Linked DNA regions of Schizosaccharomyces pombe. The gene in region 3 interacts genetically with the main gene of each other region. Each region holds a gene or a part of one and is shown on either strand. Other genes may lie near its edges.

Region 1 (5,952 bases), on a different chromosome or scaffold from region 3:
GTGGAAATCATCAGCAAAGATTTTTTAGACCTTAGGTTATAATACCTCGGTTATTTTAGCAATTTGCACCCGATGTTTAGACCCGAAAAGGCCATCAATCAAAGGACAGTTTTCCTGCAAAAAATGACAACCATAATCCATCAGACATGTTGATTCTCCTGGAATCTTCTAAAAATAACTAATATAACATTTAATGCTAGGATTCTATATCATGTTGGCGAGGTATGGCGTCTGAAAAGAGCTGTGATATATTTACTCATTCTTTTTGAACAATATTTGTCGACGGGACTAACATTAATCCAGGCCTTTGCTGGATTTCTCCACTTTCAAATTTTCTCTTGCCTATTGTGCATTCTTCTACGTTTGAAATTTTCACTTACTCATTTGAACCTTGGTGATGAAATGATGCAACCTTTCACTACTTAGTCAGATTACCCTGGCAAACTAAAGGTATACCTGTTCTGTGTTTGGGATTTATGAGAATATTTCTTTATGTGATAGATCTACGGCGATTCGCATTTCGTTCGTTGACCTCCCCATCCACTGAATCAATTGTCTCGACCTTTGTCGCAAAAAAATTTGTAACGAAATGATGCGTTTTCACGTTGAAAGCTCGTACACACTTTTCTCTACTGTGTCAAATTAGCTGCTACCATTTGTTTGATTCATAAAATTTGCTAAATTCATTATTTTTATGTTGCATAATTTATTGCCGTTGCTGTCTGTTCAGTCCTCTAATTTTTGTTTTGTTTTTTTTGCAAAAAATTTGACGCTATCCAGCTTTAATACCTAGCTACGTAACATTCAAATTTTTTTCTGAGTTTGTAAATTAACATCTACATTTGCATTCATCAAAAAACTAGAATAACTATCAACGTCCTCCGTTGAAATGACTTTGATCTAGTGGATGCTAAACAACTTTTCTATTGAGAACTTTCTCACAAGGGAGCAAATGATATTTGAAATACTATAAGTGTTATTTCTGTCGCTCGTCATAACTTCGGTTTGGTTTAACCACAAATTAGATTTATACCAATTGCAAATGTAACACGAACCTTTGTGACTGTTCTCCTTACTGATTATAGGATAAGTAATTGAAACCTTGTTGTAGAGTATATACACATCGTGTTATTTTTTAGTACAGGTATTGTTGCAAATAAACAAGGACAGTCAAACAATTATCAAAAAAATTTGAAAATACAAAAGTTGTACAGTGAAATAGCCATCAGTAATAGAGTATGTAAAGCCTTAGGAACACAGTTATTCTAACGAGATACTCGGAGAAGTAATACGTTTCCCAAACGGTTTTTGTTCTGAATAGATACCTACAGCTATGTTAGTAACAATACATTCATGTAAATTCTTTTTTGCTCGCAATGTTAAAATCCGCATACTTCATCAACAATCTCATCCATAAATTCGACTGTAGCTGTATCCATAGAGATATTATATCCTTGGCGTTTATACTTATCGCTTAACTCAACCAAATGAGGTATTGCCATGCCGGTAGCTTGGTATAATATAGATCCACTAAGCCTGTTGTTAGCATATGACTCGCAAGAAGTTCATTTTACGTACTCAATATCAAGCTTCTTTCTCATGCGTCGAATCATAGCAATCAGGTGTGTTTTTCTTCGAATAATTATACCTTTGCGAAAAGCAGGCGCACGTTTAATTCTTTCTACCGACATTTCAACATAAGGAGAACGAATATTTAATTAAACATTAATACAATATAGCTTCTTGAGGTGAAGACGTATCCGTAGTGTAGCTTTTTTTCAACTAGCTTTCTCGTAGTTAAGTGATATATCGCAATCAAATTTTCTTTGGCTTAAGTACCCTAACTGAATTTATAGTAAAGTTAGGAAATTTATTGATAAATCTGAAAAATAAAATGTAATAAAAAAGTAAAATGCAATTAATTGGTCTTCTCAGAAGTACATTTCTTCTTCCTTTTTCTTTTTTTTTTTTTTTTTTTAATTTATTTCTTTTTAAAAAAGAAATAAATTTTAAAAGTAATAAATCGGTAATTAGGTAAATTTGGCTTTAAATTTAATAAATTTGTTACAGTGATTTTCATGATAAAAGCTAAATTAAAAATTATATTCTATTCAGTTTTCTTTATCAGCGTCAGAATGTTAACGCATTTGGGTTTATAATTATGAATATTGTTTACTCTGTAAGAAGGTTAAAAACAATTTTGATTTAAACCAAGAATAATAGTAAAGATTACACGTATAGCAGGATTCAATAATTTTAAATTTAATTGTAATTTAAGAAAATGTATCAATAATTAAATTCGCAAAAATTTCATTTTCACTTATCTTACTTAAAAGTTGCCAACTTTTATACGATTTAGTTCACCTTTCACATTGGAATATGCCTAGTAGTATTAATAAAATCAAATAAAAATCCACTTCGACAACTATTAAAAACTGTTACGAAAATACACTGAAACATCTATGGCATCTTGAAGGGTAGAATATCGTTTTCCCTTCTGCATACAACTGCTATAATTTACATTTCAATCCTTTTCCCCTCTATTGTAATTTTAGTAGAAAACCATCAGCTCTTAGAACTCTATATAAAAAAACTGAAAATACTTGAGTAATGAACGACGAGGAAAGTCATATATCCGTATTGCCTGTCATGAACAAACAAACCAGCTTGGTACTTCAAAATCTTAAGGAAGAAACTGAAAATCAGTTAAAAGAGCTAGAAAAAAAAAGGTCTCAACTGCATAAAGAGGAGCAAATCAACTTGCAGTTAGTATATGCTATAAACGACTTGCGTTCAAAGACTAAGGAGCTGAAGGCAGAAAATGAAAAAGAAGACACCTTTTTAAATTCATTTAATGCGTCGGGTGACTTAACTGCCAATAAAAAAATACAGCTGCGGGAACAAAGTAGGAAGCTAGAGGAATCGCTGCTTTCATACCATAAAAAGGTGAAAGAAATGGAAAAGCAGCACCGTTCGGCGTCTTCAAAATTAGAGTTAGCAAAGTTGTCAGCTCAGCAATTGCAAACAAATGTTAATGTTTTACGATCGCAAAACAATCCTGAAATATTGCAGGACATGATCTCTGAAACCAAAGACTGTCGTTCTTTGATTGCCGAACAACTTCTTCAAAGTGCTTCTTTGCTCAATGATTTTCAAAATGATTCTGATCGTATTGCAAAGAATCACAGCTCTTTAATTGATACCAGCAGAGCACATCGCGTCTCGTTGACCAATGCAACTAAAAATTATACCCACATATTTGATTCTCTGCTAACATTTACAAGACATGATTCAGAAGATGTATCAACATCCGTTGAAAAATTAACTTCGAAAAAGATCTCTGAATTAGAGAAGCTCTTTGCAGATTATTGTTCGATTGAAGATGCTTTTGATTAATTATGTTACAACTCCATCAGACCTTATCCAGAACGACATTTAACGAATAACAAGTAATAGAAGGAATAACAATTTTAAAAGGTGTTTCAAAAATTACTCATCTCCTATTTACATGTAGATTGTAGAATATCAAACATTCTAGAATAAAAAGAAATTAAGGAACATACCTTACCCATATACTAGTAGTCTAATGAGCTACTACTATGTTACATAAATTGCTACTACAAATCGACAAATATAACAATTTTAAAAAACACTATCTTCAAAACTTATATTACCGCTATCTATCTCCAAACTAATAATAAAGAGAGGTAGGCAACATGCTTAGTTTTCATGAAGGACGGTCAAGAATTTTTCACCAGCTGCCTTGGGGGTCTTTCCAGTGTTTAATTTGACATTGGCCTTGTAAGCCTTAGCATAAGGGTTAAGACGAGCCAAAACAGCCTTGTTCTTAAGAGGGTTCTTCTTTTGGACATGAGCACGCTTGACTCGAGAAGGACCAGCGGCCTTGACAATGCTTTGAATTTCATCAGAGTTGATGAGACGAGTAACATCGGCATTAGAGATGATGTTCTCAGGGAGGAAATAGTTTTTCTTGAGTTGAGCAGCCTCAGTAGTGCTTCCAAAGACACTGTCAAGGAGACCGAAAGCAGACTTGGTCCAGATAACAAAACGACCCAAATGTCCACCAGGAGCAAGTTGAAGTAAGTTCAAACGACGAACGTTGACAATTTCAACACCAGGAATGTTACGGAAAGCCTTAACAATACCAGCATCTTCGTTGAAAACAACAAGAGGACCGCGACGTTGAACATGACGGCGGTTACGAAGCTTACCCTTTCCAGCACGAAGCTTGCGAGAGTTGGCAACCTTGACAACATCGCGGTAAGCCTTAATCTCCTTCAAAAGGGCAACAGCCTCCTTGGTCTTTTGGAAAGATTGGACAGCATCGTCGACAACCAAAGGGACCTCAGGAATCTCCTCAATACGGTGACCACGAGCCAAAAGGAGAGAAGGGACACCAGAGGCAGCAACGGCAGAAGAAATAGCATAACGCTTTTCGTTCTGATTGACCTTAACGTGCCACTTGCGCCAGGTCTTGGTTGGAGCGAACATACGACCGCTACGACACATATTACCAAAAGCAGCTTGACCGGAACGATGGGTACCACCACCACCAACACGAGGAATACGAGCAAGGGCACGACCAGTACCCCAAGACTCGGCGGAAGTTTGATGACCGGCCTTTTCAGAAACAGCGTAAGGTTGACGCTTGTTCTTGGCAACAGCGGTATGAACGGAGCGAACCAAATCAGGTCTGATAGGGGCTTTGAAAACAAAAGGCAAAGCAATAGTCTCAGAAGAGACACTGCCGTCTTTGCTGTAAATACTAACTGTGGGACGAGCTGCTGCCATTGAAGCTGTTAGTATGCTTTTGTGGTTGGAAAAAATCAGTTTAATTCAGAAGTTTCATCAAAAACCAGACGTGACTGCTTTTTATGAAGAAACGAAGTATAACATATTATAGCGTATTATAAAATATTTGCTAGATGTCCGTCTAACTCACTATCTTATAAACACATCTGTGAGTGCACTAAGCTTTCACTGCGAAGATAAATAATACAATCAGGTCTCATCAATAAGAGCTTGATAGGATAACTGATACAATTTACATAGGAAAGAGGAACAATGTTTAGAAGTCATGATATTCGCTGTTTAGTTTCATTAGCAGCCATTTGGTTGACTGATGTGTGTTATAACACAGCAATCGTAGGGCTTCAATAATCGAATTAATTTAGTTTATAAGTTTTGATAACAAGTTTTTTAGCGAATAACGGTAAAACATTGTAGAAATACTCTGAGTCATAATAAATTATCAGTCAAAGCTACTATACTGGCATTTTCGAGCAAACCTTCCTTGATGCTTTAGATAGCCTGTATGTTATAATCTGGAGGTGGGCGGTTAAACATTGTTTAAGTTGTACAGAATTAGTTTATTATAAATATACGTACCTTTGAGTCTTATAAAAAAGCAAATACCATAAACATAACAGAAGAAACATAAATTTAATTTATTAGAATGGATAAATGATGATTAGATTGATTTTACTTGTCACGAATTGTTGAGTAACACACCCTACGTGTTAGCGTGTTATATAAATGCTCTGACCGTTTTTATCCTCAGCACTATTTACTTGTAACCAATACTATGAAAAACTTGGCCAATATTAAACTATACTGGAACGAAAATGATTTTTTAATTGCAGATATGCTTCTTATAGTAATTATTAAATGAGCATCATTCGGTTACTAACCGTTGCAGCTAAAACTAAGTCCTAGATCAAGTTCAGATTGTTTGTTAGATTTACGCGACCGCAAATGGGAATTGGTATGTTGTAAAGAGTTAAATATTGGAAATGAGAGAAATCCATTGAATGTGCCATTATTTGAACTTCCTGTAAATTCTCTCGAACTTCAAAACAGCGTATCCAATGATATGTTTAAACACGTATACTCCCAAAACGTCGAGTTAAACCATAAAACACAAGTAGATTT
Region 2 (8,589 bases), on a different chromosome or scaffold from region 3:
TCCTGTATATCATTAGTAAATTTCCTTGTCTCATACAAACATAATCTCTCCCTTCTTTCCTCTCTTCTCTCTCATTCTCATCTTACCAGAAAAGTGTCTTGCTACCGTCTCCCCATGGATACTTTTTGAAGCGCAAATTTTCAAAGCTAAACCATTCATTAGTCCCTTCCTTTCATTTCTTCTCTATCTTCTTCATACCTATAACCAGGGTCCGTATCTTCAACATGCTTGGCATGCTCTTGATGCTTGCAATCTATCTCTTGTTAGTCGTTGCAAATCTTCACATTACACTTTTACGTACAAATATAATACGCATTGGCACTAGCCAATATCAATGCTGGTCCACCAATGCTGGCAAATGTTAGCTACCACACAAATTCTTCACTTCCTCATGTTCATACTAATAAGTCACTTTCTTCCAGAATTCTATAAACCCGTTAGTAAGATAAATTTCTATTCCCACAATTCACATACCACTGCTACGCTTTGCATGCTCCTCTTCTGCTTGAACCTCTTCAAGCCAGTTCACCTTTGCTTCGTTACTATAAGCTCGAAAGCTGAGCAAACCCGCTCTCTTAGGAACGCTCGTCTTCAATGTTCTGGATAGGAAGCCAATGTTACGATTCATCATGCTCATTACACTAACAAATTCGCTTTTTTACGATGTTTTCAAGGAGATGGGAGTTGTTGCTTGTGAACATTCTGCTCCTCCCGTACCTTCGTAATTCTACCCATATACTGTAGTAACGCACCGTGTGCATTCTTCTACCTCGGTACAAATTTACCTTAGCAATGTTTAGCGTTCAGTTGCGTAGCGTACCGTACTACTGAAGTGTGGCGCAAAGGGGGAATGAAGTCAAACAACGTTTAACTCAACCACAACCAACAACAAAAACCTCATCATATCTCACCACCAAAAATCGCCTTTCCGCCAAATACATAAAAGCGACTTCAAGGACAAATTATTTCTTTTTTCCATATTAGGAATTGGTAATTTAAACACTTTTAGTCGAATTGAGAGCCTTTTCGTTCATTGCTACGTACCAAATTGCCCTTTCTCAACTTCTGCCTTCCCCTCGGATTTCATCTCTTTTTTGATCGTTTCTCGCTGTAGAGGAACAAAAAGGAAATCTTTAAATCCTAACCGTGCAAAGTTGAACTTTGTTGGTAGCTAGCAAAAGCTCAAAAACTACTCTCTCAAATCACCCTCCAAAGCTTTTCCGCTTTTTTTTAAAAAATGCGGATTCGTAGTGCTACTCCTTCCCTTATCTTACTGGTTATCGCCATTGTCTTTTTCGTCTTAGCTATATGTACTCCTCCTCTTGCAAACAATCTTACTTTAGGAAAGTATGGAGACGTTAGATTTGGCGTTTTCGGTTACTGCTTAAATTCAAATTGCAGCAAGCCTTTAGTTGGTTACAACTCGGATTACCTTGATGAACATGCAAAGGACGGATTTCGTACCTCCGTTATTGTGCGTCAAAGAGCTTCCTACGGCTTGGTGATTGTTCCCGTGTCTGCCTGCATCTGTCTCATATCCACCATTATGACTATATTCGCCCACATTGGTGCCATTGCCCGCTCTCCCGGCTTCTTCAATGTCATTGGAACCATAACATTCTTTAACATTTTTATCACCGCCATTGCTTTCGTTATCTGTGTCATCACTTTTGTCCCCCATATTCAATGGCCGTCATGGCTTGTGCTCGCCAATGTCGGCATTCAACTCATCGTCTTGCTTTTACTCCTTGTTGCACGCAGACAAGCCACAAGGTTACAGGCCAAGCATCTTCGTCGCGCCACCTCTGGCAGCTTGGGTTACAATCCGTACTCTTTGCAAAACAGCAGCAATATCTTTTCTACTTCTTCTCGCAAGGGAGACCTTCCCAAATTCAGCGATTATTCTGCCGAAAAGCCTATGTACGATACCATTTCCGAGGATGATGGTCTCAAGCGTGGAGGCTCTGTCTCAAAATTGAAGCCTACTTTTAGCAACGATAGTCGTTCTCTGTCTTCCTATGCCCCAACTGTTCGTGAGCCCGTTCCCGTTCCGAAATCTAACTCGGGCTTCCGCTTTCCGTTTATGCGCAATAAGCCTGCAGAACAGGCTCCTGAAAATCCGTTTAGAGATCCTGAAAATCCCTTTAAAGATCCCGCTTCAGCTCCAGCTCCAAATCCATGGTCGATTAATGATGTTCAAGCCAATAACGACAAGAAGCCCAGCAGATTTTCATGGGGCCGCTCGTAAATTATCGACCAATCGAGTTTTATCTATCATTTATCATCTCTACATGTTTTCTAATTTCACTTTCAAAGCATTTTTTAACCGTCCCCCCTTTACCTTTTTCCTTTATTTAGTTGATACTTATATGGTACATATGTGTGTGTTTAATGTCACTGTTTCTCAATAGAATTTATCTGTTTTAAGCTAGTTGAATGTAAGAAGAGTTGGAGGGGTTTTCTTTTATTTTTTATTCTTTCAATAGGGTTCTTTTTCTTTTTTTTTAATATATATATATTTTTAGACGACCTTCACGTTTCATTATGCTTATTCATTTTGTATGTGCCATCCAGAAATCGAATTATTATTTACACTATGGTAATGGCGAGTATTATGGTGTATTATGTATTGTGATTATTAACCTTTACACAACAGCGAAACAATCTTGCTATTTGAAAGGTAAAAATGTTTCAAGCTATATCTTCACAAGTCATACTAGTTGGATGATTTGGTGAATGCAGCGCGAGATGATTGTGAAACATCAGATCCATCCAACCATTCTAAGTGTGGACATGCCAATAAAATAGCTTCAGCATACATTTTTCTTCTTGTTCTCCATGCCTCAGACAAAGTGGAACTAAAGGCCAGCTCTTTCTCCTGCCATTGCTTTTGCGGGTCTTCTTTTCTATGATGACCTTTTTGGTTGATACTTTGTTGGTATTTTGAGGCTGCAGAGAGCTCATAAATAGAGTCGTCAATTACGGGATAAATGTTGAAATTAAGAGGATTCATGCGCAGATCCAGTACGTTTAACTGTTTCAGGTTTGCCAATATATCACATAAATTTCGCATCTTTTTGATTCTATTTCCCACTAAGTAAAGTCGGTGGATCATTTGCAATGGTTTCAGCGACTCTATGTCTGATATATAGTTATGTGATAAGTCCAATACACGTAAATTGGGCATACTGGTCGCAATGTATTTAGGTACTTCTTTGAGCTGAACGTTTGCAAGCTCCAGATACCTCACTCCCAGAAACATGTGCTTACAATCAAGAGTAACGAAGGTGTTATTCGATAGGTATAGATTTCGAATATCTAAAGAGGGTTGAATGACAAAATTGGAGGCTTCAGGATCTTGAGTCCTGAACGAAAAATTGACTAAGCGTTTTAGTCGACGGATGTCAGGGGGACGATTAAATCGATTAAGGTCCATGTATAAAGTTCGTAAATGAGGAAATTGATCTACCTCAAGTTGATGTATGGCGTTGTTGCTGATGCGTAAAATTCGCAAATGAATCATTGGTTGGCTAGCTTTCAAGTTGGTTAGTTTGTTATTGTCCAATTGTAAAACCATAAGGTTTTGAAGCGAACTTATTTCTTCGATTTCTTCTATTTCGTTATTTCCCAAGAGCAATTCCTCAAGACGATGAAGATTGGAATTCGTAAATGACAATTCTTTAATCCTGTTATTGCAAGCGCTTAATTTTAGCAATCCATCCAAATGTTGAATCCCATCTAAACTCCATAGATGATTACTGTCAACTTTCAACTCACGAAGGTGAATTAGAGAAGAAAGACCAGTAAGGTCCTCTAGTTGATTATATGATATGTCCAGATATTGTAGGTTTAATAGGTTGGAAAATGAAGTCAAACTTGACAATCGATTTTCAACAGCATTCAGGTCTCTTATCGTAACGGGGCATCCTGTTAAGTAAGCAATTTCATTTCCTTCCAACGTGAGCTCTTCAATAGAGGGACAGAGTTCAGAAAGTCCAATCAAGGAATCCAAATGTCGTCTACTGATGTCTAATTGTATAATCCTTTTCCAGAAAGGCTCATATGGTTCAACATCAGAAAGAATTTGAATTATGGATTGACGAGATACTGAAAAACTATATTCAGCATCTTTGTCGGCTTTACTTTTCAATCCAGAACCTGAAGAAATAAAAGGAATTGGTGACCCATTTTCATACCTGCCATTAAACATTTCATCAAAGCTCTCATTTTGTAAGGATAAATCGTGAAAGGAAGATAAAATTTGCGGAGCGTTTTCGCTATTGTCTCTTAATGAATGCTTAGGAAATTCGGATTGAGCAACATTTTGCTTACGCAAAGGAAAGGAATGAGGTTGTTGCTTCTCCAAATTGTTTGGATCATTGTTCGCTTGATGTCTGGTGGATGCCGCTTTAAACAGTATTGTACGCTCAGGATGCGAAAGACTAGCATCTTCGTCGGTTTCAAAATCAAAGCCCAAGTCTGAATCATGACCTTTTCTCCGCCACCGATTGTGTATCCTGTCAAATTCCATGGAGCCTTGAGTTGTATCTATGCCTTCAGGAAGATCTGCTGGCGTTATAACCACCATATTGGGATAATCAGACACTTTTCTTGAGCTTTGAGCAGAGTGACTTCTTCTGGTTTTAACACTGGAAGTTTTTAGCGTTGATTTGGGAGAGCTATTTAATCGGGCAGTCTTGGAAGAGGATTGTGAAGAGCCAACATCAATTTCCCGAAGTGGCATTTTATCGGTCATATATGCCTGGCGTTGAGGGGAGGAAGATGCGGATGGAAAGGAATCATCATTATCATTGAAAATTGAGGTAACCCTTTTCATACTTTGAAGACTTTTTAAATGAAGTTGATCACTTAAGGAGGGAAATGCATTAGAGCTATCTTCTTGACTTACTTCAACTGAAATTTCATCTTGTTCCTCCTCCTCACGAAGTCCGCTGAGCTTTCGAGGAAGAAAAATTGTAGATTCTCGTCCCGAATTAGGCATTCTTCCTCGCAATCTTGCCATGACTTCTTCAACCTCTTGATAGAGATCTTTGGTATTGAGGCTAGCCTTTCGTTCAGTTGTACGCATAGGTTTTTGTGGTCTTCGTGGTTCAGGGAGTGAAAATTGTTTTTCCCCATTTTCAAATGAATTGGACTTTACATCTTGAGTTAATTGATTCAAATGCTCACGAGTAAACGGATCACTAGCTCCTTGGAAAAGTTTAAGGGGGGATGTATTATTGGGCTTCAAGGAGGGAGAAGAAACAACGGATGAGGATGACGATGCATTGCTAGCATGGTCCGTATTTTGCTTTTCGTGAACCGAGTTAGACCTGGTATTAGATTGTTGACTTTTCAAGCTTCCTTCTGAGTATTTTTTGCTAAACTGAGAAGAGGAGATAGATTCTTTTTCGTAATCCTGTGAAACGAAAGGATCTTTAGAAGGAGAAGATTGCATGTTCGATACATTAGATAGTTTACCAACTGAAGAAGAACTACGCCTAGAAGAGTTATTACTGGACTTTTTGGACGGATTTTTTGTTGGAGACTTTGAAGGGGGGCTTTGTTTGCTGCTTTCTTCAAACATATTTTCCAAATCCAACCTTGCAAAAATATCACGAGCAACAGGGTTCTTTGCATTCACCTGTTTCCATTGAGGAACATCCGGAGCATCATTTCTTCCTTTCTTAAACGTTCCATGCTCTGTCGAAGTTCCTGAACTACCACGACCTGTAGATTGAGTATTGTTTACATTTGATGTGGTTGGTGGTTCACTAGAATTGTCTGACCCTTGTTCTTGTGGCTGCGGAATCCATTCTTCACTTAAATCATGTTCAAGCCATAACTGTTCCATGATTTCTGAAAAGCACACATACCTTCCATAGAAAAAAGAAGTTTTGTTTACGTCTATGAGACGCGACGGGATGTCGTGGTACTGGGACTCAATCACCCTTTTGCACAATTTGACATAGGATATTCAAGCGTATTCGTAATGCTGCTTATCATATTTTACGATATTTTCCACAATAAGGGTATAGCGTTATTTTGTTTGTTACGTTGAATTCCAGTAAATTTATTTATTCAGAAGGAAAATTATGGCCATAAGTATTTGAGGAAAAAATCAAAGCTATAAGTAGTTCTAAGAGTTGATAAACTTGTGCATGAGAGATTCACTTTATTCTGTTAACTCGGAAGACTCGATAAAAAACAATTAATAGCAATTGCTTCGGTAACCTTCTCTGTACGATTTTTCTTTTGCCTACGGTTTCGCATACTTGACGACGGAGATGCCATTTATATCAACAAGATATCATATATTCTTCATGACTTTGAAAGCTCTTTAGTAAGCAAGTTTTTCACAAGTTGGATCTACGCTTGCAACAATCTTCGAACTGATCCTAAATTCGCTTACTATATTTAAAGGTTATGGAAACGACACTTTTATTGTCGTTCTACAGACAACGTTTCTCGTTATGCTACTCTCTCATCTTCGCCTCATGACCTAGACTTTCAATCGTTTAAAACTCTACAAGTATTTATAATTTAAAGCAATCCCACCTCGGTAATTTAAGAAAATTTGCAACAAAATTTGACGTTAGCAATAAGGATAAAATGTGTTCGACGACATCCCAATTTAATCAGCGGACTATATAAATTTGTATATAAAAGGTCATTTCCACATGTAGACTTTTTCATACGACTTTTGAATGTACCAAACATCCATATCTGATAAAGACTTGGTACGCCGTTAATCGTTACAATACGTTAAACACCCCTCTTAAGTATTCAACGTACTAACTTACGTACTCTCCGCAAACAACATATTTAATTAGGAAGCCAATTTCTAAATAGGAAAGTATTGAGAAATAACTGTGTTTAATAATCTAGAAGAGATCCTTGAATAATTTGTGCTACAACGATGTTTGACTTGGATGAATGGATCGCTACAGTAAGGAAGTGTAAATATCTTCCAGAACACCAGTTGAAACGATTGTGTGAGATGGTAAAAGTTATTTTAATGGAGGAGTCCAATATCCAGCCTGTGCGGACTCCCGTTACTGTTTGTGGTGATATACATGGTCAGTTTTACGACCTTTTGGAACTGTTTCGAGTAGGTGGAGAATTGCCAAGCACAAATTATATATTTATGGGTGATTTTGTGGATCGAGGTTATTTTAGCTTAGAAACTTTTACGTTATTTATGCTTTTGAAAGCAAGGTACCCAGATAAAATTACATTGCTTCGTGGTAATCACGAAAGTCGCCAGATCACTCAAGTCTACGGGTTTTATGATGAGTGTCAAACCAAATATGGAAATGCAAATGTTTGGAAATATTGTTGCCAAGTTTTTGATTTTTTGACTTTGGCAGCGGTTATCGATAACAAAATTTTATGCGTGCATGGTGGATTATCTCCGGAAGTTCGCACATTGGATCAGATTCGTATTCTTGCGCGTGCTCAAGAAATTCCCCATGAAGGCTCATTTTGCGATTTGATGTGGTCTGATCCAGAGGATATTGAATCTTGGACTGTTTCGCCTCGGGGAGCTGGATGGTTGTTTGGTTCTAAAGTTACTACCGAATTTAGTCAAATCAACGACTTGACATTGATTGCTCGTGCTCATCAACTTGTTCAAGAGGGCTACAAATATCATTTTGCCGATAAAAATCTTGTTACCGTTTGGAGTGCTCCCAATTACTGCTATAGATGTGGAAATGTGGCAAGTGTTATGAAAGTAGATGAATCTTTGGAACCGGAATTTCGTATTTTCTCGGCTGTTGCCGACGAAGATCGTACCGTTCCCCCTAGCAGAAAAAGAAGCGAGTATTTCATCTAACTTTGGTATGTGCAAGTCAAATATCTTGTTTTTTATGGCACACATATACCCCCTCAAACATGTAATAGTTTTTGTTTTTTAAAACGTAGCTTTTTTTACTTCCTTGTCCGACACTTTCTTTCTCTCTTCCAGTTCTCAACTTCCATATTTTTATTTCCGTTTGCTTTGCGCGTGAGGTATATTCTATTTTTCCTTGGCAGCTTGTTACGCAAAACGATATTATAAGTTACATGGGTTTGTTTTTTAATCTTTTTTTCCTAGCTATTTTCAGTCGCTATAGTTTAGATTGTTTCCCTTCAAAAAAGCGACTTGGTGTTTGCAATTTTATTTCACCTCACATTGTGATGATATTCCCTTAACCTTTTTTTCGCAATAGCATTGACTTGCGTTACCACACTGTTCCAGCAACATAAAGTTACTTAGTGCCCAAAAATTCTTAATGATCCCTTCTCCATAATTTTTGTTTCCATTACTACGCGTCCATAAAGCCAATAATCGCATGTTGCAGTGCTTGCCTTGTCACTCTTTTGTCAAGAACGTTATACATAATTCCTCTCGGGTTTGCGTCGAGCTTGCTTTAATTGGGGTTTCTTGGCATCTAGTACGATGATATGTATATCATGATTTTTCTCAGTTTTGTCAGTTAAGATTAAGCAAGCAAGGGTGATTTTTGATAATCAATTTCTTATATATAAGTTTAGTATGCATTATTATATCTGTACAGTTCTTTGGACAAATTTTCTTGATAATAT
Region 3 (10,728 bases):
TACTCAACTCGATAATGGAGGTTTTTATTACTCTAAGCATTTAAACTATTACAAAGTTCGTTCTTTTCGATTTACTCCTGTTAATACGGGAAAGCGTCATTATTTTGCTTTAGATGGTGAAAGTTACCCATTGGAACCATTTGAATGTCGCGTGGCTCCAAAATTAGGAACTACTTTATCTCCTGTTGCAGGGTTTCAATTGTTGGATATATAAGCAACAGCGAGTGGTTTTTTTTTTTTTTTCAATTTGTCCAACTTATTGGGGTTTTCATTAATTAATTAGTTTTCTGTAATTAAGCCACGCTTAGGCTCTATAATTTTAGACTTGTTTTAATTTCGTTTAATTGTATTTAATAAACAGCGAACTAAGAGTTCTTTTCCTCCGAATTTATATACGACATTTAGAAAGATTCCGAACAAAAGCAAGAGCATTAAGTATTCTTTTTCTTTGTACTTTCGCCCATCCTAATTTGCAAATTAGGAAATTACAAAACGTTATCGTAGACTGAAGAAGTACACTTCTATTCCTGTTCGTTAGCACGTTTAGTGGTGTTGCGATGCACTGGATTTATCACTAATCATTTTGTACTTCAGGTTTTAATTGTTCAATAGTCGAATTAGAGGTAGTCAATTATACGTTATCAGAATTTGTTTATTAAACATTTATGTCTTCATTACATTGCTTATACGACGGATAATAAAACAGGCTTAAAAACTCCTATTCATATGATGATACTCATAATATTATGAAGTGCATTAGAAGAAGTTACTCGTGTCCAGCGCCAGTTTATTGTGTTTCAAATTTATACCTCGTATAATGCGTTTTGTTCTGGTGGGCATAGATAATCTGCATATATAGATATTAAAATATGATGAATACTTACCAGTCAAACTATTGGAAACAAAAAAAATAAGTAAATTTAACTTACAGCTAAATAATGTAAACATACCCATCTTAGTTGTAAAGCTCGTCAAAAACAATTTAGTGAGTTTTACTGAAGGCCGAAGCATTTTTTGCATAGTATAAAACTAACAATCGCGAGAGCATTACTCTGTAGTAAGGCCAAGAGTTGCAGCATTTATGAATTAATATAAATACAACGTCTCTTTTAAATGTTATGCTTCTCTTTGGCAGCATTTTTTGTTCTTTTTAATACTTTTGTATCATTATCCTTCTAATAGAGTTAAAAAATAAATCTATGCGATTTTTTGCTAAAAAACCGTTATTTTTTAGACAATGCTGAAAAAGGAGCAGTTAACTGTCGAATCAATTAATGATGGAATATCTAAAACGTTTAGTCAAGCATTCCGTTTCCTGGCTCATCATGAGTTACGCAAGAATAGAACTTTCATGCTTGATTTGGGAGTGTCGATTTTAAAAAAATTTTTAATTGATAGCAGGGATTATAAAGTAGAAGTTGTTCAAGATTTTTGCTCAAGGAGCTTAACGGATGAGTTTAAGTTTAAATTTACATCACAACCTATAGATTCAAAGTCAGAATCAGATTCTGCTTCTTACATTCGAAACTATTTGGGACCAGAAGGCATTAAACAATTTGGGGGCTCAAACTGGTGGCTTTATCGAAAGTCACCTTTAAAATCCTGGTGGATTGAAAGGCGACATCATATAAGGCACAATCTCAAATGTGATAAAGTTATTTTTTATGTTCATGGAGGTGCTCATTATTTAAGTACTGTTCGTACTAATGCTTATCATATTCAGCGTCATACTGCAGCTCTGGGTGCTAGAACCTTTGCTCCAGATCTGCGGTTAGCACCGCAATTTCCCTTTCCTTGCTCTTTGCATGATGTACTTTCATCTTATTTGTATCTACTTAAAAGCACCAAGCCAGAAAATATAATATTTATGGGCGATAGCTCAGGTGCTGGTTTAATCGTTGCATCACTAGTTTTGATTAGAGATTCAAAATTACCCTTACCTGCTGGAGTAGTTTATGATTCCCCTTGGGTTGATTTGACTCATAGTCTTCCTTCTGTAGTTGCAGATGATGCTGCTGACTATATTCCAAGCGAAGGATTTCATCACCGAGCCAGCAGATATTGGCCCATTACTAACTTAGATTCTTTCTCAACGATATCCGAAAAGGAATTACTAAATTATTCCAAGAAACAAGAATTGACTAACTTTATTGAAAACAGCATACGTAAAAAAATTCAGACCATCAAAAATTTGATCCCCGTGTTGCAAGAGATGGATAAAGAACATGCACGTATTGATTTTGACAATGTGGACTCTCGTTTAGACCCTAACATTTTGACTACATTTCCTTTTCAAGTACAGTTTTATACCTCTAATGCAAATTTAAAGCATCCTCTGATCAGTCCTATCTTCACTGAAAACCTTGGTGGTTTACCGCCGTCACTTGTTCTGGGTGGATCGGGCGAACGCTTACGAGACGAAATAGTGTACATCGCTCACAAAATGAATACAGACGTATACAATGGTAAGCGTACAAAGGTTCGTTTGGAAATGTACGATGATTGTTGTCATGTCGTTACAGCTCTTCCTTTTGTAAAAGAAGCTGGGATTATGGTCCGACGTGCTGCTAATTTTGCTTATTGGTGTTTAAAGCAGCATGATTCGTCTTTTGTATCGCCTAATAAACACCTTGATGGTAATCCGTCTCATGCTAATGAAGATATGGTTCGTTTAAGAATTTCGCGAAATGGTGAGGAACGATTGATGGAGCCTAAAGATGAAATTCAATGTTTAAATTTACCGAAAAGTGCTTTAGGTACTATACAGGTGAAAGCACTCATTCGCTGGATTGACGTTGAATTAATCTTGCTCAGTAAAGACACTAAAAAGCCAGCACGGTACTTCGCTGAATTTAAACACGCCGATTTAAATGGGTATTTAGTCAAGCCCAAAGAGTATACGATGGAAGGGGAAAATCCTCCACTTTCTGCCTTGGTAGCTAACTGTAAAATTAGCCCCGAAAAAAAACAATAATTGCCTGAGACTTGTTTTCATTCTTTTATTTTATCTCTTCTCGATTTCCTTTTTCGTTGAAGTTGAGTTCTTTAGTTATTCACTTTACTTCAACTTATTTATTTTATCAGAAGATTACTAAGGGATATCCACATACGTGCCTAATATCCTGGCAAAAGACGACTGGCTTACTACATTTTAACAGGTATAATTTATTGTTTAACCATTTATAAGTATTCTCTTACATAGTATTGTAAACAATCCATTTGTATTTCGTTGCCATAGTAACATTCATAAATATTTACATTGCTGCGCAGTCATGATTTATACAGCTGCAGCATTGCCAATGTGTTATACTTCTTAATTTAATGTCGTATCTTTCAAAAAATGGCTCTAACGACAACAATAATATTATCAAAAAGCTAGTAGATGCTGAAAAACATTGCAATGCCGTGAAAGACGCGTCTTTTGATGAACGGACATGGATCTGGATTCCTGATTCGAAGGAATCATTCGTGAAAGCTTGGATAGTTGAAGATTTAGGAGAAAAATATAGGGTGAAATTAGAAAGAGATGGCTCGGAAAGAATTGTGGATGGATTTGATGCTGAAAAAGTAAATCCACCGAAGTTTGATATGGTTGATGACATGGCTGCGTTGACATGTCTCAACGAACCATCAGTAGTTAACAACCTTACTCAGCGTTATGAGAAAGATTTAATATATACCTATTCAGGCTTGTTTCTCGTTGCTGTAAACCCCTATTGTCATTTACCAATTTATGGCGATGATGTTGTGCGAAAATACCAATCTAAACAGTTTAAAGAAACTAAACCCCATATTTTTGGAACAGCTGATGCCGCATATCGAAGTTTATTAGAAAGGAGGATCAATCAATCTATTTTAGTTACTGGTGAATCAGGAGCTGGAAAAACTGAAACTACTAAAAAGGTTATTCAGTACCTAACATCGGTCACTGATGCTTCCACAAGCGATTCTCAACAGTTGGAGAAGAAAATCCTTGAAACGAATCCTGTGTTGGAGGCTTTTGGGAATGCTCAGACTGTCCGGAATAACAACTCATCCCGCTTTGGCAAGTTCATACGAATTGAATTTTCTAATAATGGAAGCATCGTTGGAGCGAATTTAGACTGGTACCTTTTGGAAAAATCTCGCGTTATACATCCTTCCTCCAATGAACGCAATTATCACGTCTTTTATCAACTACTTCGAGGTGCTGATGGATCATTGCTTGAAAGTCTTTTCCTTGATCGATATGTTGACCATTACTCATATTTAAAAAATGGTCTCAAGCATATTAATGGAGTCGATGATGGCAAAGAATTTCAAAAATTATGCTTTGGTCTCAGAACTTTGGGGTTTGATAATAACGAAATTCACAGTTTGTTCTTAATTATAGCTTCAATTCTTCATATAGGAAATATTGAAGTAGCATCTGATCGTTCGGGGCAAGCTAGATTTCCTTCCTTAACGCAAATTGATCAATTATGCCATTTACTCGAAATCCCTGTTGATGGATTTGTTAATGCAGCTTTACACCCAAAGTCCAAAGCTGGACGAGAATGGATTGTGACGGCAAGAACACGTGAACAAGTAGTCCATACACTACAATCCTTAGCCAAAGGCCTTTATGAGCGTAATTTTGCGCATTTAGTGAAACGTCTGAATCAGACTATGTATTATTCTCAGTCTGAACATGATGGGTTCATTGGGGTTTTAGATATTGCTGGGTTTGAAATTTTCACTTTTAATAGTTTTGAGCAACTCTGTATTAATTTTACAAATGAAAAGCTTCAGCAATTCTTTAATCATTACATGTTCGTTCTGGAACAAGAAGAATATACACAAGAACGCATCGAATGGGATTTTATTGACTACGGAAATGATTTGCAGCCCACCATAGATGCTATCGAAAAATCTGAGCCCATTGGTATTTTTTCTTGCCTCGACGAGGATTGTGTTATGCCAATGGCTACTGATGCTACATTCACAGAAAAACTTCACCTTCTTTTTAAGGGTAAATCCGATATATACCGTCCTAAAAAGTTTTCTAGTGAAGGCTTTGTTTTAAAACATTATGCTGGTGATGTCGAATATGATACCAAAGATTGGCTGGAGAAAAACAAAGATCCTCTAAATGCATGTCTTGCCGCACTAATGTTCAAATCTACTAACAGTCATGTGTCTTCTCTTTTTGATGATTATTCGTCAAATGCTAGTGGTCGAGATAACATTGAAAAGAAAGGAATCTTTCGTACTGTGTCGCAGCGTCATAGGAGACAGCTTTCTAGTCTTATGCACCAACTCGAAGCAACTCAGCCTCACTTTGTCAGATGCATTATTCCAAACAATTTGAAGCAGCCTCACAATTTGGATAAATCTCTCGTTCTTCATCAACTTCGATGCAACGGTGTACTGGAGGGTATTAGAATTGCTCAAACTGGATTTCCAAACAAACTATTTTATACAGAATTTAGAGCTCGTTATGGGATTCTTTCGCAGTCATTAAAGAGAGGATATGTCGAAGCAAAAAAGGCAACAATAACGATCATCAATGAATTAAAATTACCTAGTACCGTATACCGTTTGGGTGAAACAAAGGTATTTTTTAAAGCCAGTGTCTTGGGTTCTTTAGAGGATCGCAGAAACGCTTTACTGCGGGTGATATTTAATTCATTTTCAGCTCGCATTCGTGGGTTTTTGACAAGACGGAGACTTTACCGGTTTAATCATAGGCAAGATGCAGCTATCCTTCTACAGCATAACTTGAGGCAGTTGAAGTTATTGAAGCCACATCCTTGGTGGAATCTTTTTCTGCATCTTAAACCGTTATTGGGAACAACCCAGACTGATGAGTATTTAAGAAGAAAAGACGCACTCATAAATAATTTACAGAATCAATTGGAAAGTACCAAGGAAGTTGCAAACGAATTAACTATTACCAAAGAACGAGTCTTACAATTGACTAACGATTTGCAAGAGGAACAAGCTCTGGCACATGAAAAGGACATTTTGGTAGAAAGAGCCAATAGCCGGGTTGAAGTTGTTCATGAGAGACTGTCAAGTTTGGAAAATCAAGTAACTATTGCTGATGAAAAATATGAGTTTTTGTATGCAGAGAAGCAAAGCATAGAGGAGGACCTTGCCAACAAACAGACAGAAATTTCTTATCTTTCCGATTTATCATCTACATTGGAGAAAAAGCTGTCTTCAATTAAGAAGGACGAGCAAACGATTTCTTCTAAATATAAAGAGCTTGAGAAAGACTATCTGAATATCATGGCGGATTATCAACATAGTTCGCAGCATTTATCAAATCTTGAAAAGGCTATTAACGAAAAGAATTTAAATATTCGCGAATTGAATGAGAAACTCATGAGACTTGATGATGAGTTACTATTAAAGCAACGAAGTTATGATACAAAGGTTCAAGAATTAAGGGAAGAAAACGCAAGCTTAAAAGACCAATGTCGTACTTACGAATCTCAATTAGCAAGTCTTGTTTCCAAATACTCAGAAACAGAAAGTGAATTGAATAAGAAGGAAGCCGAGTTAGTTATCTTTCAGAAGGAAATCACGGAATACAGAGATCAACTTCATAAAGCTTTTCAAAATCCTGAGAAAACTCATAACATTAATGATGTAAAAAGTGGCCCCTTAAACAGTGATGAGAATATTTATTCTACTTCTTCGACCACGCTTTCAATTTTGAAGGATGTTCAAGAGCTTAAATCATTACATACGAAAGAAGCAAACCAGTTATCTGAACGGATTAAAGAGATAAGTGAGATGCTTGAGCAAAGTATAGCGACTGAAGAAAAGCTTCGTAGAAAAAATTCTGAACTATGTGATATAATTGAGGCCTTAAAATACCAAATTCAGGATCAGGAAACTGAAATTATCTCTTTAAATGCTGATAATCTGGATTTGAAAGATACAAATGGTGTTTTGGAGAAGAATGCTAGTGATTTCATAGACTTCCAAGGTATAAAAAGCCGTTATGAACATAAAATTTCAGATTTACTGAATCAGCTTCAGAAGGAAAGGTGTAAAGTTGGGCTATTAAAACAAAAAACAGAAAATCGGTCAGTTACACAACACACTTTAGATGGAAATTCTCCACATCCATCATTTGAAGAGAAACATTCAGGTGATCCTCTAAAACGCATTGATGGTAATAACGATGATCGAAAAATTGACAATAAATTATTGAAAACAATTAGTAAAAGCCTTGATGCTTTGCAACTAACCGTTGAAGAAGAACTTAGCAATCTGTATTCCCTCTCTAAGGATTTATCTTTTACTGACATTTCGGGACACATACCAAACTCTATTAGGAAGCTTGAAAAAGGGTTGAGTACTTTATCAGAATTAAAGGAACGTCTCAATGCATCAAATTCTGACAGACCTTCCCCGGACATTTTTAAAGATACTCAAGCTATCATGAATTCTCGGAAGCTATTAAGCAATCCTAATTCTGATGCTCAAAGTGGTTTAATATCATCATTGCAGAAAAAGCTTTATAATCCTGAATCTAATATGGAATTTACTGGGCTGAAACCTTTGTCTCCAAGCAAAATCAGCAATTTACCCTCTTCTCAACCCGGCTCACCTTCAAAGAGATCTGGCAAAATGGAAGCACTGATTAGAAATTTTGATCAAAATAGTAGTATTCCTGATCCCTTTATCGTTAATCAACGGAATTCCGTGCTTCAAACAGAGTTTGAAAAAATCAATTTGAAGTTAAAGGAAGCTACAAAGTCTGGAATCTTAGATAACAAAGATCTATCAAAATTTTCGGAACTTATACAATCTTTGTTAAAAGAAAATGAGGAACTTAAAAACTTAACTACTAGTAATTTAGGCAGTGATGATAAAATGCTTGATTTTGCTCCATTACTTGAAGATGTTCCAAATAATACTAGAAACCAAATCAAAGGTTTTGTGGAAAAGGCAATATCATCGAAGCGAGCTATTGCAAAGTTATATTCGGCAAGCGAAGAAAAGCTGTTTTCAACGGAAAAAGCTTTAAGAGAGATAACCAAGGAAAGAGATCGTTTGCTTCATGGGTTGCAAGGACCTTCTGTTCCTACATCTCCTTTAAAGGCTCCCACTGCTTCTCAATTAATAATTCCCAATTTTGATGGTAGTATAACTAATTATTCTGGAGAAGAAGAAACCGAGTGGTTGCAAGAAGAAGTTAATATAATGAAGATAAAGGAGCTTACTTCTACAGTTAACAAGTACCGCGAACAGCTTGCGATGGTCCAGTCACTCAATGAGCATGCAGAATCTTCACTTTCTAAAGCTGAAAGGTCTAAAAATTATCTTACCGGGCGTTTACAGGAAGTTGAAGAACTCGCTCGCGGATTTCAAACAACAAATGCTGATCTGCAAAACGAACTGGCAGATGCTGTCGTGAAACAAAAGGAGTATGAAGTTCTTTACGTTGAAAAGAGCAACGATTATAATACTTTGCTGCTGCAAAAAGAAAAACTGATGAAACAAATTGATGAGTTTCATGTCATTCGTGTTCAAGATCTCGAGGAACGAGAAAAGAAGGATCAACTACTCTTTCAACGTTATCAAAAGGAGCTAAATGGTTTCAAAGTACAGTTGGAAGAAGAACGTGAGAAGAACTTGCGCATTAGACAAGATAATCGGCACATGCATGCGGAAATTGGTGATATCCGTACCAAATTTGACGAATTAGTTTTGGAAAAGACAAATTTGTTAAAAGAAAATTCAATACTTCAAGCAGACTTACAATCTCTTTCTCGTGTCAATAATTCTTCCTCAACAGCGCAACAAAATGCCCAAAGCCAACTTCTTTCTTTGACTGCACAACTCCAAGAAGTACGAGAAGCAAACCAGACATTAAGAAAAGATCAAGATACCCTTTTAAGAGAAAATCGAAACCTTGAGCGAAAACTTCACGAAGTTTCAGAGCAATTGAACAAAAAATTCGATAGTTCTGCAAGACCTTTTGATGAAATTGAAATGGAGAAAGAGGTATTAACACTCAAGAGTAACCTTGCTCAAAAAGATGACTTACTATCATCATTAGTTGAACGCATAAAACAGATCGAAATGTTTGCGCTAAAAACTCAAAAAGATAGTAATAATCATCGAGAAGAAAATCTTCAACTGCATCGTCAACTCGGAGTTTTACAAAAGGAGAAAAAGGATTTGGAGCTCAAATTGTTTGATTTAGATCTTAAAACTTATCCCATATCAACATCAAAGGACGTCCGAATGCTACAAAAGCAAATATCAGATTTGGAAGCATCGTTTGCTGCTTCCGACATCGAACGAATTAAAGGAATTGATGAATGTCGCAATCGCGATAGGACTATCCGTCAACTGGAAGCTCAAATATCAAAATTTGATGATGATAAAAAGAGAATACAGAGCTCAGTTTCTCGTTTGGAGGAAAGAAATGCGCAACTGAGAAATCAATTAGAAGATGTGCAAGCTTCAGAAACACAATGGAAATTTGCACTACGTCGGACGGAACATGCTCTTCAAGAAGAGCGTGAACGCGTCAAAAGTTTGGAAACCGATTTTGATAAATATAGATCTTTGCTGGAGGGTCAAAGAGTAAAGAGAAGTGAAAGTAGATTATCCATGAGGTCCAATCGTTCGCCTAGCGTTCTAAGGTAGCCAAGCTTCCCAAAGACTCGACATGTATTTTTTAAGATGATGTAAATTATTAGTTCATGAATTTAAAATTATTTTATTATTACTATTATTATGCTCTGCGTCAACGTAACAAGTAACCACAAGGATACTTTAGTTCAAAAAAAAAAGTAAGTCGGTCAAGTAAAAGGCATTTTAGTTCGGTTTACTTTTTATTTTACCCCTATTATTTGTACAATGGTTATATGCAGCAATCACATTGTAAAAGAAAACTATGAAGAGATAGGCGGCGATATTAAATGTAGAAGAGCTCTTGCATAACAGCGGCACAAATATAAATACAAATACAAATAAAAGAAGAGGACATTTACAATTACACTTTAACATTGTAAGTTGGAAGAACATCACAAAAAAATTTCATTCAAGTATAAAAATTCTAAACGTGATTCAGTGGCTTGCATTATAAAATATTTATTGTCATAACAATCATTATAAACTGTTTGTAAAGAACAATCATAAAAGGAGCAAACGTTTTCAAAAAAATAAAACAATTACTCGATGTATTGAAAATCAAACACCGACTTATTGAAAACATCGAATGCATCCAACATGAAGTAAAATCTATTCTTGAGCACCATTGAAAGCGAGAAGGTTAATAGTGCTGCTACCAACAGGAATAGACAAGAGTACATCGTGAATACCCATCTTAATGATAGCATCTTTAACTTCGCTAGCGCTGGCAGCAGGGTGTAGGCCAAGGTAGTAAGCGGACAAACCTGCAACATGAGGGGTTGCCATAGAAGTACCAGAGATGGTGTTAGTACTAGTATTTGAACCGATCCATGTAGACAAAATGTTAAGTCCAGGAGCGAAGATGTCAACACAGCTACCATAGTTAGAGAAGTAGGCCATTTGGTCGTTTATAGTGGAAGCGCCAACGGTGATGGCTTTCTTAGAAGCAGCAGGAGATGAATAGCAAGCGTCATCATACTCATTTCCAGCAGCAACGGCATAAATAACACCGTTGGTAACGGCAGAATCAACAGCCATATCCAAAACAAAGCTGTTGCCGCCACCAAGAGACATGTTGCCAACAGAGGTTTTCTTGCCGGACGA

The links. A genetic interaction does not mean that the proteins touch.
Region 1: mutations in myp2 (region 3) and rng9 impair growth when combined (synthetic growth defect), as found in Schizosaccharomyces pombe (2 studies listed by BioGRID, with this or other methods).
Region 2: mutations in myp2 (region 3) and cdc11 are lethal when combined (synthetic lethality), as found in Schizosaccharomyces pombe (2 studies listed by BioGRID, with this or other methods).

What each region holds. Positions count from the first base shown.
Region 1 is NC_003423.3:3,632,835-3,638,786, forward strand, and holds rng9 (protein Rng9), read left to right. Parts: upstream 1-2,499; 5' UTR 2,500-2,610; coding exon 2,611-3,396; 3' UTR 3,397-3,521; downstream 3,522-5,952. Other genes in the region: Rnase P/MRP subunit Pop7, read right to left, coding at 1,266-1,325, 1,395-1,530, 1,579-1,691; rpl402 (60S ribosomal protein uL4), read right to left, coding at 3,721-4,812; protein mug45, read left to right, coding at 5,606-5,677, 5,720-5,952.
Region 2 is NC_003421.2:2,046,699-2,055,287, forward strand, and holds cdc11 (SIN component scaffold protein cdc11), read right to left. Parts: upstream 5,906-8,589; 5' UTR 5,855-5,905; coding exon 2,717-5,854; 3' UTR 2,432-2,716; downstream 1-2,431. Other genes in the region: cox13 (cytochrome c oxidase subunit VIa), read right to left, coding at 1-2, 87-146, 199-253, 302-351, 402-426, 475-637; protein mug33, read left to right, coding at 1,238-2,248; serine/threonine protein phosphatase PP6 catalytic subunit Ppe1, read left to right, coding at 6,920-7,837. UniProt on the Schizosaccharomyces pombe protein: Essential for the onset of septum formation. Involved in the organization of astral microtubules during mitosis. Acts as a bridge between sid4 and the other SIN proteins mediating their association with the spindle pole body (SPB).
Region 3 is NC_003424.3:2,546,259-2,556,986, reverse strand, and holds myp2 (Myo3-like myosin II heavy chain myp2), read left to right. Parts: upstream 1-3,283; 5' UTR 3,284-3,321; coding exon 3,322-9,636; 3' UTR 9,637-9,727; downstream 9,728-10,728. Other genes in the region: lcb4 (sphinganine kinase), read left to right, coding at 1-214; SPOM_SPAC4A8.06C (esterase/lipase), read left to right, coding at 1,238-2,974; vacuolar serine protease Isp6, read right to left, coding at 10,234-10,728. UniProt on the Schizosaccharomyces pombe protein: Stabilizes the F-actin cables forming the F-actin ring that surrounds the nucleus during interphase. May work in conjunction with myo2.